Linked DNA regions of Saccharomyces cerevisiae S288C. The protein of the gene in region 2 purifies or fractionates together with the protein of the main gene of each other region. This does not show direct contact. Each region holds a gene or a part of one and is shown on either strand. Other genes may lie near its edges. The genes, in order: TDH2, PGI1, PRO3 and PRP42.

Region 1 (3,769 bases), on a different chromosome or scaffold from region 2:
TTGTTATTATTATACTTTCTTAGTTCCTTTTCAATTGTTAAGAAACGATATCACAACTGTTACGACAGAGAGAGACCCAAGCTAGAGATCACAAGCTAAAAAAGAACCAAGTTTACATATATATATATATATATATATATATATATATATATATCCATATTCATATTTCTCGAGAAAGAGCCTCTATTTCTCATTGGTAAGTAACTTCATAAGAGACTAAGTTGTAAAACTGTGGCTTTGTTATACGGTGATTTCCTTTGGAGGTTGCTAAGGTTTATGGTGTTGAGTGCAGTGTGCACGACAGGGACCGCTAGAATGCGGTGAGTTACAAAATTACACGTGACTTTTCTGGTCACGTGACCTTTTTTTCTGTCAGCAATCCGTAGGATGCGCGTTGGCGCTACAAGTGTGTCATATCTGTACTATATTTGTACACTTATATGTAGTTGTGACAAAAGTCTCTGTTAGTACTAAATTAAACGATGTTATATCTGTGGACCCCCTCACCTTATACCACTACGTACATATCGTTGGAAAATCTAGATCAGAGGGTGGTAAATGAAGTGTAATAGTATTCATTTTTCTTATAAATCATCCCTTCCGTGATTTATACAAAAGAAGAGGAGAATATGCTGAATACTTGGTATATTACTCTACATTATACTCTTATCTTGACGGGTATTCTGAGCATCTTACTCAGTTTCAAGATCTTTTAATGTCCAAAAACATTTGAGCCGATCTAAATACTTCTGTGTTTTCATTAATTTATAAATTGTACTCTTTTAAGACATGGAAAGTACCAACATCGGTTGAAACAGTTTTTCATTTACTTATGGTTTATTGGTTTTTCCAGTGAATGATTATTTGTCGTTACCCTTTCGTAAAAGTTCAAACACGTTTTTAAGTATTGTTTAGTTGCTCTTTCGACATATATGATTATCCCTGCGCGGCTAAAGTTAAGGATGCAAAAAACATAAGACAACTGAAGTTAATTTACGTCAATTAAGTTTTCCAGGGTAATGATGTTTTGGGCTTCCACTAATTCAATAAGTATGTCATGAAATACGTTGTGAAGAGCATCCAGAAATAATGAAAAGAAACAACGAAACTGGGTCGGCCTGTTGTTTCTTTTCTTTACCACGTGATCTGCGGCATTTACAGGAAGTCGCGCGTTTTGCGCAGTTGTTGCAACGCAGCTACGGCTAACAAAGCCTAGTGGAACTCGACTGATGTGTTAGGGCCTAAAACTGGTGGTGACAGCTGAAGTGAACTATTCAATCCAATCATGTCATGGCTGTCACAAAGACCTTGCGGACCGCACGTACGAACACATACGTATGCTAATATGTGTTTTGATAGTACCCAGTGATCGCAGACCTGCAATTTTTTTGTAGGTTTGGAAGAATATATAAAGGTTGCACTCATTCAAGATAGTTTTTTTCTTGTGTGTCTATTCATTTTATTATTGTTTGTTTAAATGTTAAAAAAACCAAGAACTTAGTTTCAAATTAAATTCATCACACAAACAAACAAAACAAAATGGTTAGAGTTGCTATTAACGGTTTCGGTAGAATCGGTAGATTGGTTATGAGAATTGCTTTGCAAAGAAAGAACGTCGAAGTTGTTGCTTTGAACGATCCTTTCATCTCTAACGACTACTCCGCTTACATGTTCAAGTACGACTCTACTCACGGTAGATACGCTGGTGAAGTTTCCCACGATGACAAGCACATCATCGTTGATGGTCACAAGATCGCCACTTTCCAAGAAAGAGACCCAGCTAACTTGCCATGGGCTTCTCTAAACATTGACATCGCCATTGACTCCACTGGTGTTTTCAAGGAATTGGACACTGCTCAAAAGCACATTGACGCTGGTGCCAAGAAGGTTGTCATCACTGCTCCATCTTCCACCGCCCCAATGTTCGTCATGGGTGTTAACGAAGAAAAATACACTTCTGACTTGAAGATTGTTTCCAACGCTTCTTGTACCACCAACTGTTTGGCTCCATTGGCCAAGGTTATCAACGATGCTTTCGGTATTGAAGAAGGTTTGATGACCACTGTTCACTCCATGACCGCCACCCAAAAGACTGTTGACGGTCCATCCCACAAGGACTGGAGAGGTGGTAGAACCGCTTCCGGTAACATCATCCCATCCTCTACCGGTGCTGCTAAGGCTGTCGGTAAGGTCTTGCCAGAATTGCAAGGTAAGTTGACCGGTATGGCTTTCAGAGTCCCAACCGTCGATGTTTCCGTTGTTGACTTGACTGTCAAGTTGAACAAGGAAACCACCTACGATGAAATCAAGAAGGTTGTCAAGGCTGCCGCTGAAGGTAAGTTGAAGGGTGTCTTGGGTTACACTGAAGACGCTGTTGTCTCCTCTGACTTCTTGGGTGACTCTAACTCTTCCATCTTCGATGCTGCCGCTGGTATCCAATTGTCTCCAAAGTTCGTCAAGTTGGTTTCCTGGTACGACAACGAATACGGTTACTCTACCAGAGTTGTCGACTTGGTTGAACACGTTGCCAAGGCTTAAATTTAACTCCTTAAGTTACTTTAATGATTTAGTTTTTATTATTAATAATTCATGCTCATGACATCTCATATACACGTTTATAAAACTTAAATAGATTGAAAATGTATTAAAGATTCCTCAGGGATTCGATTTTTTTGGAAGTTTTTGTTTTTTTTTCCTTGAGATGCTGTAGTATTTGGGAACAATTATACAATCGAAAGATATATGCTTACATTCGACCGTTTTAGCCGTGATCATTATCCTATAGTAACATAACCTGAAGCATAACTGACACTACTATCATCAATACTTGTCACATGAGAACTCTGTGAATAATTAGGCCACTGAAATTTGATGCCTGAAGGACCGGCATCACGGATTTTCGATAAAGCACTTAGTATCACACTAATTGGCTTTTCGCCGCATATGGTGTTTCCGGTGATTTCCAAGTATTGTTTCCAAGCATCGTACCTTTCACCATTTGGAGTATCACTTAGCGTTTTCATCGCATATCTGTCCATTATTTCAATGGATTGCCAAATGGGAACTTGATGATGTGAAAGTTTACTCCTAGCAGTTAACATTTCCACTTCTGTTTCCTCTTGAATGGCATCATTCAACTCTTCCTTGCTTCCGACGTACCCAGTATATTGGAATCTGCGGCCCCAATGACAGAAATCACTGCTTACAATGAATAAATTGTTCGGATCCTTAATGTACTCCGACAAGATATTACCAATGCAACGATCAACATCAACGCTGTTATGAGAAACCATCATAGGAAATACCTTCACCGTATCTAAAGAAATTTCTCTCCATTTCAAAGTTTCCACCAACATGGGGAGCTGCATCTCTAAGGAATGTTCAGCCATATCAGTGTCATGATCCATTGGCTTAAACAGCTTCTTTCCGTTCTCAGGATACTCCTTCTGTATTAATGTTTTACACAAGTCTGTATCCACTTTCAGATTACCCAAGGGCGTCTCTAGCTCACTGAATGCACTAACTAATATTTGGTTTTTGAAATAGATGTGATGCGACGGCCCCAAGATAAATATTCTCTTAACATTACGGTTCAAATCCAACGATGCGTACGAGTAGGCCATAGTGGGTCCACAATACCTGTAACCGGCATGAGGACATATGATAATTCTGGCGTTGTGAATTGGGCCTTTAAGGGTACTTTTGATCAAGTATGTATGCAGTTGTTGAGATAATTCTTGGGCTCTATTGGAATACCATGAGCCTGCAT
Region 2 (4,496 bases):
TGTTCTATCGAATATGTAGATTGCACCATCTGAAGAGGCGCCGGCTATAATATCTGGATTTTGAGGCAAATATCTTGCCCTATTGCATTCCCCGTTTGGGAAGAAAATACTGATGTCATTTACTAAGTGTTTGGAGGGAAACCTTGTCGAGTTCTCCGGTTTGAATTCCATTTCGTCCATGTCGAAATTATTTAAAGATGACCATTTTATATGACCCAACGTGGATATTTTGCTAATATATATGGTCTCATCTTCAGGTTTTTGGGAAGATGTAAATGAGGATAACAAGATGCGATGCTCATCCGAAGTGGTATCTAAATCAGGAAAGAACTGGCACGTTAAGGACGGCCACTTTGTTGAATTCGTGTTTAGGTAATCATAAAGTAGTTTAGTGTTTTTCTTCCAGTGCGAGTATCTTTCTTGCAAATCGATGGGTATACTGGAGGCTTCATGAGTTATGTCCTTCGCGCACTGATTCATCTTTGAAACTAAATTTGTATATTGTTTGTCAGAAATAGGACCTGATATCCTCCTTTTAAACAGTTGATGAGAACCTTTTTCGCAAGTTCAAGGTGCTCTAATTTTTAAAATTTTTACTTTTCGCGACACAATAAAGTCTTCACGACGCTAAACTATTAGTGCACATAATGTAGTTACTTGGACGCTGTTCAATAATGTATAAAATTTATTTCCTTTGCATTACGTACATTATATAACCAAATCTTAAAAATATAGAAATATGATATGTGTATAATAATATAAGCAAAATTTACGTATCTTTGCTTATAATATAGCTTTAATGTTCTTTAGGTATATATTTAAGAGCGATTTGTTCACATCCATTCCTTGAATTGATTGATTAAACCGTTGGTAGAAGCATCGTGGGTAGAAATGGTGGAGGAGTTGTCCAATTCCTTGCCGATGACTTTAGCCAAGACTTTACCCAATTCAACACCCCATTGGTCGAAAGAGTTGATATTCCAAATGGCACCTTCAGTGAAAGTAACATGTTCGTAGTAGGCAATCAAAGCACCCAAAGTAGCTGGAGTAATCTTTTGAGCCAAGATAGAGGTAGTTGGTCTGTTACCTGAGAAGACCTTGTGTGGGACCAAACCACCAGTGGCACCTTCAGCCTTAACTTGTTCTTCATCCTTACCAACCATTAAAGCTTCAGCTTGAGCAAAGAAGTTTGAAGCCAACATCTTTTGATGTAATTTGTTCTCAATTGGGTTATGAGATTGAGCAGCTAAGATGAAATCAGATGGAATCAACTTGGTACCTTGGTGAACCAATTGGAAGAAAGAGTGTTGAGCGTTGGTAGCTGGTTCACCAAACAAGATAGAACCAGTAGAGTAGTCAGTAAACACGTTACCTCTGGTAACAGACTTACCGTTAGATTCCATTGACAATTGTTGCAAGTAGGCTGGGAATCTGTGCAAGTATTGGTCGAATGGAGCAACCAAATGGGTTTGAGCACCAAAGAAGTTGTTGTACCAGACAGACAACAAACCACCCAACAATGGAATGTTGTCTTCCAATGGGGTTTGGGTGAAGTGGTTGTCGACGGCTTCAGCACCCTTCAAGAAAGCCTCAAAGTTGTCATAGCCAATGTACAAGGCAACAGACAAACCAATAGCCGACCAGACAGAGTAACGACCACCGACCCAACTTTCGAAACCAAACATGTTTTTGGTGTCAATACCGAACTTGGCAACTTCGGTTTCGTTAGTGGACAAAGCAGCGAAATGCTTAGCAATGTGAGATGGATCATTACCTGTCTTCGACAAGAACCAGTTCTTGGCAGTGTTAGCGTTAGTGATAGTTTCAGCGGTAGTGAAAGTCTTGGAAGCAATCAAAAACAAAGTAGTTTCTGGGTCAACAACCTTCAAGGTTTCAGCAATGTGAGTACCGTCAATGTTGGAAACGAAGTGGACATCCAAGACACCAGCGTAGTGCTTCAAAGCCTCAGTGACCATGACTGGACCCAAATCGGAACCACCAATACCGATGTTAACAACATCGGTGATCTTCTTACCGGTATAACCCTTCCATTCACCAGAACGAACTTGTTCAGAGAACTCCTTCATGTGCTTCAAGACAGAGTCGACTTCTGGAGCAACGTTGACACCATCAACGTACATTGGCTTGTTAGCTCTGTTTCTCAATGCGACGTGGTAGACAGCACGATCTTCAGTGGAGTTGATGTGTTCACCTTTGAACATAGCATCTCTCAAACCGGTGACGTTAGCCTCCTTGGCCAGTTCAATCAATGCAGCAATGATTTCATCGTTGACCAAGTTCTTTGAGTAGTCGAACAAGATTTTGGAACCATCATAGTTGGTGAAAGTCTTGTTCAATTTTTCAAAACGCTTGGCATCTTTTTGGAATTCTTGCTTGACAGACAAAGTCTTACCTTGAGATTCATAAATTTTTTGCAACTTAGACCAGGCTGGCAATTCAGTGGCCAGTTTGAAGTTAGTGAATGAGTTATTGGACATTTTTAGGCTGGTATCTTGATTCTAAATCGATTTTGCAAGACTAGAGGAATATGTATTAAAATTCACTGAATGCAAGTAAAATATTAAGTAAAAGAAAGCATTGATTATGAAGAAAGGACCTTTTTAAGATATGAGAACAATGAGAAAAGGAAAAATGGGACGAAACAAATAGGGAAAATTCCGTCTGTAAAACCAATTGTAGTAACAAAAAACGCTCATTTCAATAGCAAAAAAATAGAATACCGTCAATGGATATATATAGACACGGGACATTATAACAACGTGCAGATGGTGATGATTGCAAACCCAAAAAATTACCAGCTTCCTGTAATTCCAGGTTGAGCGCGTGGCTTCCTATAATCCAATACACCCACACCCACCCAGATCGTGATTTTTGTTACCATCCCGGTTCTTGCCTCATTGACATATTTTTCTGACGGTGACAGAACGTGGCCTTGTACACTCTTTTTTAATGTTACGCTGGCACAACATAGTTCAACGAAAAACGAATTAAGTTCTTACTTCCGTGTTTTAATCAGAAAACGATATTCCAATGAGAGATATAAGCGTAAGGTAGCATGTCCGATGGCAAAATTCTCTTTGCTTCCGCAGCGGGGCCAAAGTCTTACTCGCCTCTAACCCCACGTAGGACAAGTGCTGAGAATAAAATAGTCTTGGCGTAGTATGCCTTCTTCAGTAATATTTTTTCTTTTGAAAGTACTACCCACATCCGAACATTGCCACTTACATAGCGATGCAAATAGCCGCCAGGAAATGCCGCATGTTATCCACTAAGAATAGTCAACATTGCATAGCATCCAAATACGTGAAAGCGGACCGATCTTGAGCGAAATGTTTAGTACCGTTGATGTGTAGAAGTAGTGCCCTGAAATACATAGCGGTGTATTATTTAGCATTAACATACAAAAAAAAAATAACGGAGGCACCAATGGAAGTGGTGTCGCTACATTAGTTTTTAACTCAGTCAGAAAACTGAATTTAGTTGATATGGGACCGCTCCAAGGTAGGAGAATACTAGATCAAGTAAAGCAACCGCACTAGTGCCTTTTTCAAACAAGGTGGTTTGATGAGGAGGCTTTCTACAATCCTAGAAATATAAGACATCTGTCAGATTAGCCGCCGTTCATATGGTTTCAAAAGGTTGCGAATGGAGACAAACGTTCCTCGTCCCAAATTAGCCAGACGGAACAGGACAATAAAGGTGATAATGTAATCCATGACTTCCTCTATTTTAGACGGGACTTTTAGCATCCTCTAAATATTTTCAACCCATACATGTCATCAGCATCGGTGAACATCTTTAATAGTATCGACAACTTGGCTCACGTACTTCTCACCGTCAAGTGCGATTTCCGGGTCATGCAATACCTCGTCTGGTTCTTGATCTTTATTCGTGGCAGAATTATGCTGATCCTTATGAGGAGGGCTCCTCAGCTTGGCATACTTTAGTCGCTGATTTCTTTCCCTCATTAATCGCAGTAGTTGAGCGTGCGACTTGCGCATTTGCGTGAGATTGCTCTCAAAATCTCGTGGGAACCCGTCGTTGACGATAGGTTCTTTCGCCATCTTCTTCACATCATCCAGTGTATCGATTTCAGACCATGATACGTCTTGCGTCTCCGTAGGTGCCAGGTTTGAGTGCATTGTTATACGGCTACCATTTACGCTTCTTTCGTATGCAGTATTACCCCTACTAATGCTGGTCGTTAAGGGGTTTAGTGCTGGAGGCGTGGTTAGGTTTTTGGTCGGAAGTGCGTTGGAACTGCCCATTATAGAGGCAGTGGAATCTGAAGATCCCTTTCTTTTATCTTTGTCGCTCTTTGCCTTTAATTGAACCAGCTGAGGGTTTCCTTCCTGGCTACTAGATTTCCTTCTGTTGGTGGAATCCGCGTCGCTTACTTTCACCTGGACTGGTGGGGTTTGCTTCACTCCCATTATTTGTCTTCGTTCGTGCCAGCAACATACATTTCATCTTAT
Region 3 (3,625 bases), on a different chromosome or scaffold from region 2:
ATTCATTAGGATACCTTTTCTGTAGTCTCTTCCTTGCATATTTCCAGTTTCTAAAAGAGTGAGAGGTCAAACTACCTAACGCAGTTGATTTTTCAATGCCAGAAGAATCTTTTATTATATGGTTGAAAATTGTGGTTAATTCTGCAGCAGTGTATATAATTTTATTCGTCGAATCAAGTACTTCCAGTGTATAGTATTGGCCCCTGGAGATGATCAAGATGTGTTTGCTATCCGGATGTCTTTTTATAGTTATACCATTGCCAGTGAATATGTCTTCTTCGTGTTTTCTTTTACGGTCATCAAAGTCTTTTTGGGTGGGTTCGTCGTTATCGTCCTCATCGCTTGAATAATCAGGGTCTTCTAAATCAGATGCTGTGTAAGGTTTGTTCAAATCAAAATTTTCAACCTCACCGCGCTGAAAAACAGGACTACGAGTAGTACCGAACAAGTTCAGAAATGGAGCCATTGACAGTGGTTTGCCATTGGTGGCATTGATATCTGGTGGCAACAAATCTTGTTTCAAAGCAGAAATAAACCTGGCCGCAGAGTGCACTAGGACGGCTGACCTATCAGCTTGAGTGATGTTTGGCAAAGCGTCATCTGCGAGAACCAAGAAGGGATTCCTGGGTAGGACATCGTCCTGAATCTCCCTAGTGGAGGTCTGGTTATTGATGTCTAAGTGTAATTCATCAAGGTAGCAATCCCTAGTGTCATGGTAGCTCTGTAGTTTAGATTGCAGCTTCTCACTTACGGGATTCTCTTCAAAATCTCTTATTATGGATGACAGCTTCTCAATTTGTTCTGGATCTAAAGGATGTTGATAGTAACCATCAGCATAATACAATGGCTCTAAACTCTCCTTCAGACGCTGCAAAGTGTCACAGAGTTTAGGTAATGGTAACTTGGGTAGTTCTTCCTCATGCTTAAATGTTCGCCCCGACTTGTCAGACGAAACAATAGTACTGCCGCTTGACATGGTTGCTTAGTTTTATTTTAATTTTGATTTTTGATTTTCATTTCAAATGAATCAATTGCTCTTACTCATTACAAACACATTTATATAATTTTTTTCTTTTATACGCTCCAATTAGTGTCATTATTATGGGGTAGTCATTCATCGTGATGATTCATTATCGGACCGACGGGAAAATGACGAAAAAATGCAAGGTCAGTAATAAAAAAATAATATACGGCTACAAAGCGAACATACATACATTTCACGCAAAGCAATCTATTTCTTCTTTTGGCCTAATTGTGACGCAACACGGGCTGCCTCTTCAACACCATTGATAATACCGCTCTTGACGCCCTTTTCTTCCATTACGCACAACCCGGCAATAGTTGTACCACCTGGTGTGCAAACTTGATGCTTTAAAACGGATGGATGAGCACCGCTTTTCTCAACCATCTTCACTGTTCCTTCTAGAACTTTCATGGCACACTCCTTACTCTCTTGTAATGGGATTCCCAATTTCAACCCACTCTCCATCAAGGATTCTAACATCAAGAGAACAAAAGCGGGGCCTGAACCGACTAAAGCCGTAGCAGCATCCATGTTCTTTTCTGGAAGCTCAACGTATTTACCAACTTGGCTAATCAATTCGTTGACCAGTGGCTTTTGCTCTTTGGAAACATCAGCTGAGTAGGACACCACCGCACAACCATATCCGTACTTGGCAGGTGTGTTCGTCATAACACGGCAAACAGTGCTAGTGTATTGACTCAATTGGTCAATTGTCCAGCCAGCAGCCAGGGAAATAAGTAGCTTTCCCCCAATGACGCTCTTCACACCATTCAACACTTCTTCGGCCAAAAATGGCTTGGTACCAAGAAGAACTACAGAAGCTTCTTCGACAGCGCTCACGTTGTGACCGTAAGTGCTTTCGACTTTAATACCGTTAGGAGATTCGTCGAATGTCTCAACTAGATCGGTAACTTGTTGTGCACTAGGTTCATCATGGTTACATGTGATAATTTTGGAAGGGTAAAATGCAGCAGCAGTTTCATCAGCCGCCTTTGGAGCATTATAAATGGCGGAAAGAAGTGCTTGGCCCATAACACCGCAGCCTAAAATTGCCAATGTGTAAGTCATATCTGTAGTTGGTTTGTTTGCTATTGGTGTTGTGTTACTTCTATTGTTGTTACACCGTTCTTAACCTGGCAATGTTATTAAATCCTTCATATTCTTGTTTTCGAAGATAAGATCTTGTCCTTTTGTACGTATGCGACTTTATATAGTAATAAATGGCATTCTATGGCAATGTATGTAGGTTTAAGGAGTGACTCAGGATATTACACCTTCTTTTGCTGGATGTACTCAGCGACAATAAAATGTAGGAAGTCCTCTACTTCTTTAAAATCAGAAAATGTTGTGTCAAAGGACACTGCGTTGGCTTCCGTACCAGCTGAAAACTTGATGTGAATGAGTGCGTTACAATAGTTAGGACTTTCGAGCATTAAACTTAGATTAGGGCTTTTGTGCTCAGTTAATGGTAGATTTATTTTGAGTTCACGTCTAGGTATATTCAATAGTTTATCGAAGGCACGGATCTCTTTATTTAATTTAGTTATATTTTCATCATCAATGTTTTTATTTTCTTGAGGTTGTTCTCTCTCAACTTCCGTTTCTGTTATACTTGAGCCAGGAACTATATCGAGCACGTAATCCTTTATGATTTTTTTTAGTAACAGTTTGTAATTAGCAAACCGAACTTTACCAAGAATGGGACGTATTATTAAGATATCATCGTCAACATTCAAATTGATCAGTCCGTGGGGTGAGCTTATTCTCGATCGTAATGTTTTCTTGAATATAACGACTAATAATAGTCTCAACATAACAAGCATTAAATTTGCTCTCTTGTCGTTGATTTTTGGTAAGTCTTGTTCATGATTGACAATGGAGTCATCGTCAAGGGACAACAACTCGATTTCAAATTTTTCGTTAGGTAGTTCAATTATTACCTTGTTTTCGTTTTCAATACTGACACCATAGGAAATCAACAAAGCGCATTCTTTCTTTATTTGGTACATCAGTTCTTTTTCAAAAATGATCTTTTTCAAAAGTTGGATTTGCTTTCTGATATCTTTCGTTTCAGCTTCTTCACTTTCACTATCCCTATCCATCACACTTTCGCCACTCAATATGTAATCATCTTCTGATTCGATTTTTGTGAAGATACGAACCCTTAAGAATTTCTTTACTGAATGTACGAAATCAGTGCCTTTGAACACTGAACTACTGTGGGGTATCAAATCCAAATTTTGTGATTCTATATTATTCCTTATATTAGCAATACCTCTGTCATGCTTATAGGTAGATCCAGAGTCTTCGTAACCATACTTAATTGCCAACAGCTTTTGACCACTAGTCCTGTCCCTAATCTTAAAAATAACATCCTTGTTGCTAATACTCTGCATTATCTTATTCCAATAGTCATGTTCGTTCTGTAATATGGAACTCAGTTTATTAAAACTTGCGCGTAGGAGATCTTTAGATTCGTTTAAACTTTGTAACTTCCATCCCTTATTCAATATATCCAACTCGATATATTCTTTTTTTGTAGGTGCAACATATGGAATTTTATCACTGTTTAAACTAGAAGGTTTAACAACTTTCCTAAGA
Region 4 (4,676 bases), on a different chromosome or scaffold from region 2:
TTGATGCGAAAATAGACAGTTTGCAAACAGCACAAAAGGAGCTCCGAAACAGCCTTTCTTCTTTTTCTAAATAGGTTATTAATGAAGAGTATGGGTAAGTCATTAAGGATTCACATTATGCAATCTTTCCCAGGGTCGGCACACCCACTTTCTAAAGAATCCGCACGCTTATGTTAGTTGGCAACGAATCACACTCAAGAGGTTTTACAATGAATACTGATCATGTGAAACATGATTAAGTTACTCTAATAGAGAATTGAATATCTTGATCACACTGCACTTCAGATGTTGCAATTGCGTTATAAGAGAGGATGTATTTGTAGTCCTTTATGCAGGAGGGTAATGCGTCAATTCAAATCGTTGCTTTAATACTCTGTCAGCATTGGTAACACTATTATTGGACGTACAAGACAATGTTCTAGAAAGTGGTAATTTGGACCCGTGAAGCGGTCACAGACACGTGTTGTTGAAGTGTTGATGTTTACGTGGACTATTTATGTTTCGTTATTGCTAGTGTTAGCAGGTACTTTCTTAATGAACCGAAATACGAATACAGATATAATTGATACTTTTAAACGAGAAGTCGATTTGCCAATACCTGCGCAACCAGGTCCACCATTCCCGCTTGTTACTGACTATTGTGACATTGTATGTGGATTTGGCCGCGGATCCGCCGAATTGGGTATTCCCACTGCCAATGTACCTATAAATCAGTTACCTAAAGGTATCAACGATTTGGATTTAGGGGTTTACTTTGGGTTTGCTCACATTAAAACTGTTGATGGTCAAGAACTATCGGTGGAAACAAGGCGGGATGGAAGAACTGTGGTTTATAATTACGGTCAATATTTAAGTGAAGCGAACGATGATTTGTCCGTACTTCCTATGGTACTTTCAGTTGGGAAAAATCCATTCTACGGAAATGATTTCAAAACCATGGAATTACATATTATACATGATTTTAAAAATGATTTTTATGGGGCCAGGGTCAAGTTCAATATTTTAGGTCATATCAGACCCGAATTGAACTACACTACTAAGGAAGCTCTGATCGAAGACATCAATATCGATATTAGGACTGCGCAGACTGTCCTTGCCACTCCACCGTATCAAGTATTCAAACAACAATTATAGAGATCTGCGGGAGTGATGAGGCTAGTAGTTTTTCTTAACGGTCATTAAGTATACATTTACATATTTATACCTTTTAATAAATGACAATGCCTTTTGGCTAAGGTTCTTCAGTAAACATTTCCTCTAATGTATCCATCTCCTCTGGGAAGTATGACTCACAGAATTCTGTTAAAGACGGCAAGACGCTCTGTGCAAATTTTTTGTCTATTTGGGGCCATATTTTTCTGACAATATATTGCCTCTTGTCCAAATATGACCTAGAAGTGTCGAAATAAATTAAACGGCAATAACAGTTCCAGAACATACCGTTCTGTAGGTAGTACTCCCAACCAAATTCTATTATCTTTTGAAATATGTTCTTTTCTACAAATTCTACGGTATCCTTCGAATAAAACTGTACTAAGTTATTCAATAAAATTTCTTGACCACTTTTTTTTTCTTTACAACTCAAACGTTTCCATACTTTATCAAACAGCTCCTTATTCAAAAGCCCGTTTGATTGTGAATCAGAATATCGACTGGAATACAGAGAATTCTGGCAGAACGTTTTGAACTGAAGATAGTCCCAAAATATCTCAAAATCATCAACGTTTTCAACATTGTCGGAATATGAGGACTCAATTTTTTCCAATAGATTTCGCAAAAGTACGTACTCATTTAACTTGCAAATAACTGAATACAGTAGTTTTATTATTTCGGTCTTCTTCAAAGAAAATTTAAGACCCATTAATAGAACGTTTTTTGCCCCCAAAAGGTCATTTTTTGAATTTATCAACCATTTACTGTATTTTATCCATACAAGATCATAATGGGCCAGAGGAAGTAAAGCTCTTTGAAAATTTAAATGTGTTAAAGAATCTGTTTGTAAGGTGATGGTATAATCCAAGTATTTTATCCATGTTTCTATTTCATCTGAAGAAACCAAGGTTTCTGGCGATGTATAATAGTTGATATAAATTTTTGATTCAAAAATGGAATAGATTTCAAGTACTTGATATTGTACAACCATGTACATTTCCTTCGTTATTTTCTTCAACTTTTTCTTTGCATCCTGCAGGTACGGTCCCTTTCTTCCACTGTAATTGATGTCTATCTTGAGTTTCTTCAATAATTCATCTTTACTTGTTAGTTGTGATAATTGCTTTAGGTCCATTATATCGTCTATGCGCTGTAACCATAATGCATAAAATTTCGAAAAAGAGTGTAAAGGAATTTCGAGTATCTTCCTCAAAACGTTCCAATATTTCTTAGAAGACGTACATCTTGAGCTAATTTGTTCCAGGTATAAATCCCAGAATTCCCCACTGAAAAAATGCAAACCAACATATTCTTCAGCTGTTTCATATTTTTTAAACAACTGCTTCTGGTGTGAGATAACGTTATTACAAAACTTTAAATATGAAGTCCATAATAGTAAAGATCTTTGGTTAAAGGCTTGCAATCCGCGCTGAAATATCTTATGAGACATAGAAACATTCCCTAGTTTGTATTCCAGTAGCGCGAAGTCGATATAGTAGTTTTCTAGATAGGGAAACTCATTCAGCATAGAAGAATAAGTACATCGTATTAACTTTAATAATTGAGGCTCAGTGGACTTGCATATTGGTGCCGAAGCCTTTACTATATAGTTCAGTAACTTCTCCCAATATGCCAAACTTTTAGGGTATCTCGAGACATTCAATGTAAGAGTTGAAAAATTCTCATCGTGAATCAAAGCAGTATATTTATCCATAGATGTTTGCTACTTCAGTTAATGGTCAGCTGGGTATTTTCTGAAACTCTTTCGAGCGCCTACTTGACTTTTTTATGTAGAAATTTACGTTGTTTTTCCCACGGGCTTTAGGTCAGACACTGGTTTTGGACGTCACAAGAGCATCTTTGAAATTTAATGAAAAGAAGTAGAAAAATTACAAATAAGAACTTGTGTATCAATAGATTAACAAAATATACGTGAATAACCGTAAATAAATAAATAAACTTAATAAATAAAGAAAAGGGTGCGATTTTTCTAGATATTTATGCACATTATAGTTGGGATTTGACCCAACCTTCCAAGCCTCCTTTTACAATAATTTCTTGTAGGTTCTTACCTAGCTCACCCACTTTTTGCTCCAAGATCACAGGGCCGTCCAAAGAACCTTCGGTAACGACCACTTTAGCATCAGCTACATCCCATTTCAAAAACCAACCAGTTCTTCTTGTAAGTTCTTTTGGAGCACCTTGATATTTCTCACGTAATTTTTTGATTAATGCTGGGATTTCCAAGGTCAGAAGAGCATTGTTAATGGAGTTTCTTGAAAAAATATTACCAAAAGATCCTGAAACAACTAAGTTGATACCTTTAGCCAATAAGGCGGTGGCCGCTTGTTCCCTGGAGGAACCGGTACCGAAATTGAACCCACTGACCACTATATCACCTGGATGAACCTTGGTTCTGAACTCGGCATCATAATTTTCCATACAAACTTGCGCCATCTTTTCTTTAGGCACATCATCCTGATAAGTGTACTTACCAGGATATATACCATCGGTATTGATGTTATCGGCATCACATAAAACTAATTCACCAGAAAACTCTCTTGGGAAACCTTCTAATATCTCAACGGATTGTTTTGGAGCCTCTGTTTGAGCGTTAACTTCCTCTTCAACCACGGGATTCTCAATTATCTCAGTCTTAACGCCGCTGAATGGAATTTCGCTTGTGGACAATACCTCAGCAGGAGAACTAATCTTACCCAGCACGGCAGAAGCGGCGACTACAGCAGGGGAAGCTAAGTAAGCCAATGCATCCTTGGAACCCATTCTACCTTTGAAGTTTCTGTTTGTGGCACTGATACCAACTTCACCTGGTTCCAGTAATCCCGCACCTAGACCGATGCATGGACCACAACCAGAAGGCAGTGGGATACAGCCAGCCTTTAGCAGCTTTTCCCAAGCGCCTGATTTACGGGCATCAGCCTCAATTTCTGAAGAGGCAGCAGCGACATAGAACTCCACACCTGGAGCCACCTTGTTGACTTTGTTTAAGTCTCCAGTAGGACAAACCACATCCGCTGCAGATTGCAAATCAGATAGACGGGAGTTTGTACATGACACTAGATAAGCTTTATTTATCTTGATGTCTTGTTGAGATAGATCTTGCACGGTGTTGGAGACCTTAACACTATTTGGACCTGAGACGTAGTGAGTTAGCGTGGCTAGATCGATGATCAGTTTCTTGGCATAATGTGCATCCTTGTCTGCTTTCGGAATCTTCGCCTTTTCTTCTAGTGCGCGGATAGTCTTTGGATTAATCCTTGGATGATTATTGGTGCCCAGCTTTTGCAAACGGTTTTTATACCAGTCGATCAAAGTTTTGTCCACGGGGAACAAACCAGAAAGAGCCCCCCACTCGGTGGTCATGTTAGCAATAGTGAGTCTGTGATCGATAGGCAATGCATTCAAAGAGTCACCCGTGAATTCAATGGCGTGATTTAGAACTTGATCATTGTTGAAAAGCCCACATAATGCGACAATGATATCTTTTCCGGAAACACCCTGAG

What was found.
Region 1: the proteins of PGI1 (region 2) and TDH2 purify together in Saccharomyces cerevisiae (affinity purification with mass spectrometry, with the first as the bait; one large-scale study listed by BioGRID). This does not show direct contact.
Region 3: the proteins of PGI1 (region 2) and PRO3 purify together in Saccharomyces cerevisiae (affinity purification with mass spectrometry, with the first as the bait; one large-scale study listed by BioGRID). This does not show direct contact.
Region 4: the proteins of PGI1 (region 2) and PRP42 purify together in Saccharomyces cerevisiae (affinity purification with mass spectrometry, with the first as the bait; one large-scale study listed by BioGRID). This does not show direct contact.

The regions. Positions count from the first base shown.
Region 1 is NC_001142.9:452,452-456,220, reverse strand, and holds TDH2 (glyceraldehyde-3-phosphate dehydrogenase (phosphorylating) TDH2), read left to right. Parts: upstream 1-1,539; coding exon 1,540-2,538; downstream 2,539-3,769. Other genes in the region: MHO1 (Mho1p), read right to left, coding at 2,775-3,769. UniProt on the Saccharomyces cerevisiae protein: Glyceraldehyde-3-phosphate dehydrogenase (GAPDH) involved in glycolysis and gluconeogenesis. Catalyzes the reaction of glyceraldehyde-3-phosphate to 1,3 bis-phosphoglycerate.
Region 2 is NC_001134.8:611,403-615,898, forward strand, and holds PGI1 (glucose-6-phosphate isomerase), read right to left. Parts: upstream 2,499-4,496; coding exon 834-2,498; downstream 1-833. Other genes in the region: MSI1 (Msi1p), read right to left, coding at 1-480; YBR196C-A (uncharacterized protein), read right to left, coding at 2,622-2,771; YBR196C-B (uncharacterized protein), read right to left, coding at 3,124-3,228; YBR197C (uncharacterized protein), read right to left, coding at 3,801-4,454. UniProt on the Saccharomyces cerevisiae protein: In the cytoplasm, catalyzes the conversion of glucose-6-phosphate to fructose-6-phosphate, the second step in glycolysis, and the reverse reaction during gluconeogenesis.
Region 3 is NC_001137.3:199,543-203,167, reverse strand, and holds PRO3 (pyrroline-5-carboxylate reductase), read right to left. Parts: upstream 2,093-3,625; coding exon 1,232-2,092; downstream 1-1,231. Other genes in the region: carnitine O-acetyltransferase YAT2, read right to left, coding at 1-976; SRB4 (Srb4p), read right to left, coding at 2,293-3,625.
Region 4 is NC_001136.10:931,694-936,369, reverse strand, and holds PRP42 (mRNA splicing protein PRP42), read right to left. Parts: upstream 2,867-4,676; coding exon 1,232-2,866; downstream 1-1,231. Other genes in the region: FMN1 (riboflavin kinase), read left to right, coding at 478-1,134; homoaconitate hydratase LYS4, read right to left, coding at 3,160-4,676. UniProt on the Saccharomyces cerevisiae protein: Essential component of the U1 snRNP particle, which recognizes and binds the 5'-splice site of pre-mRNA. Together with other non-snRNP factors, U1 snRNP forms the spliceosomal commitment complex, that targets pre-mRNA to the splicing pathway.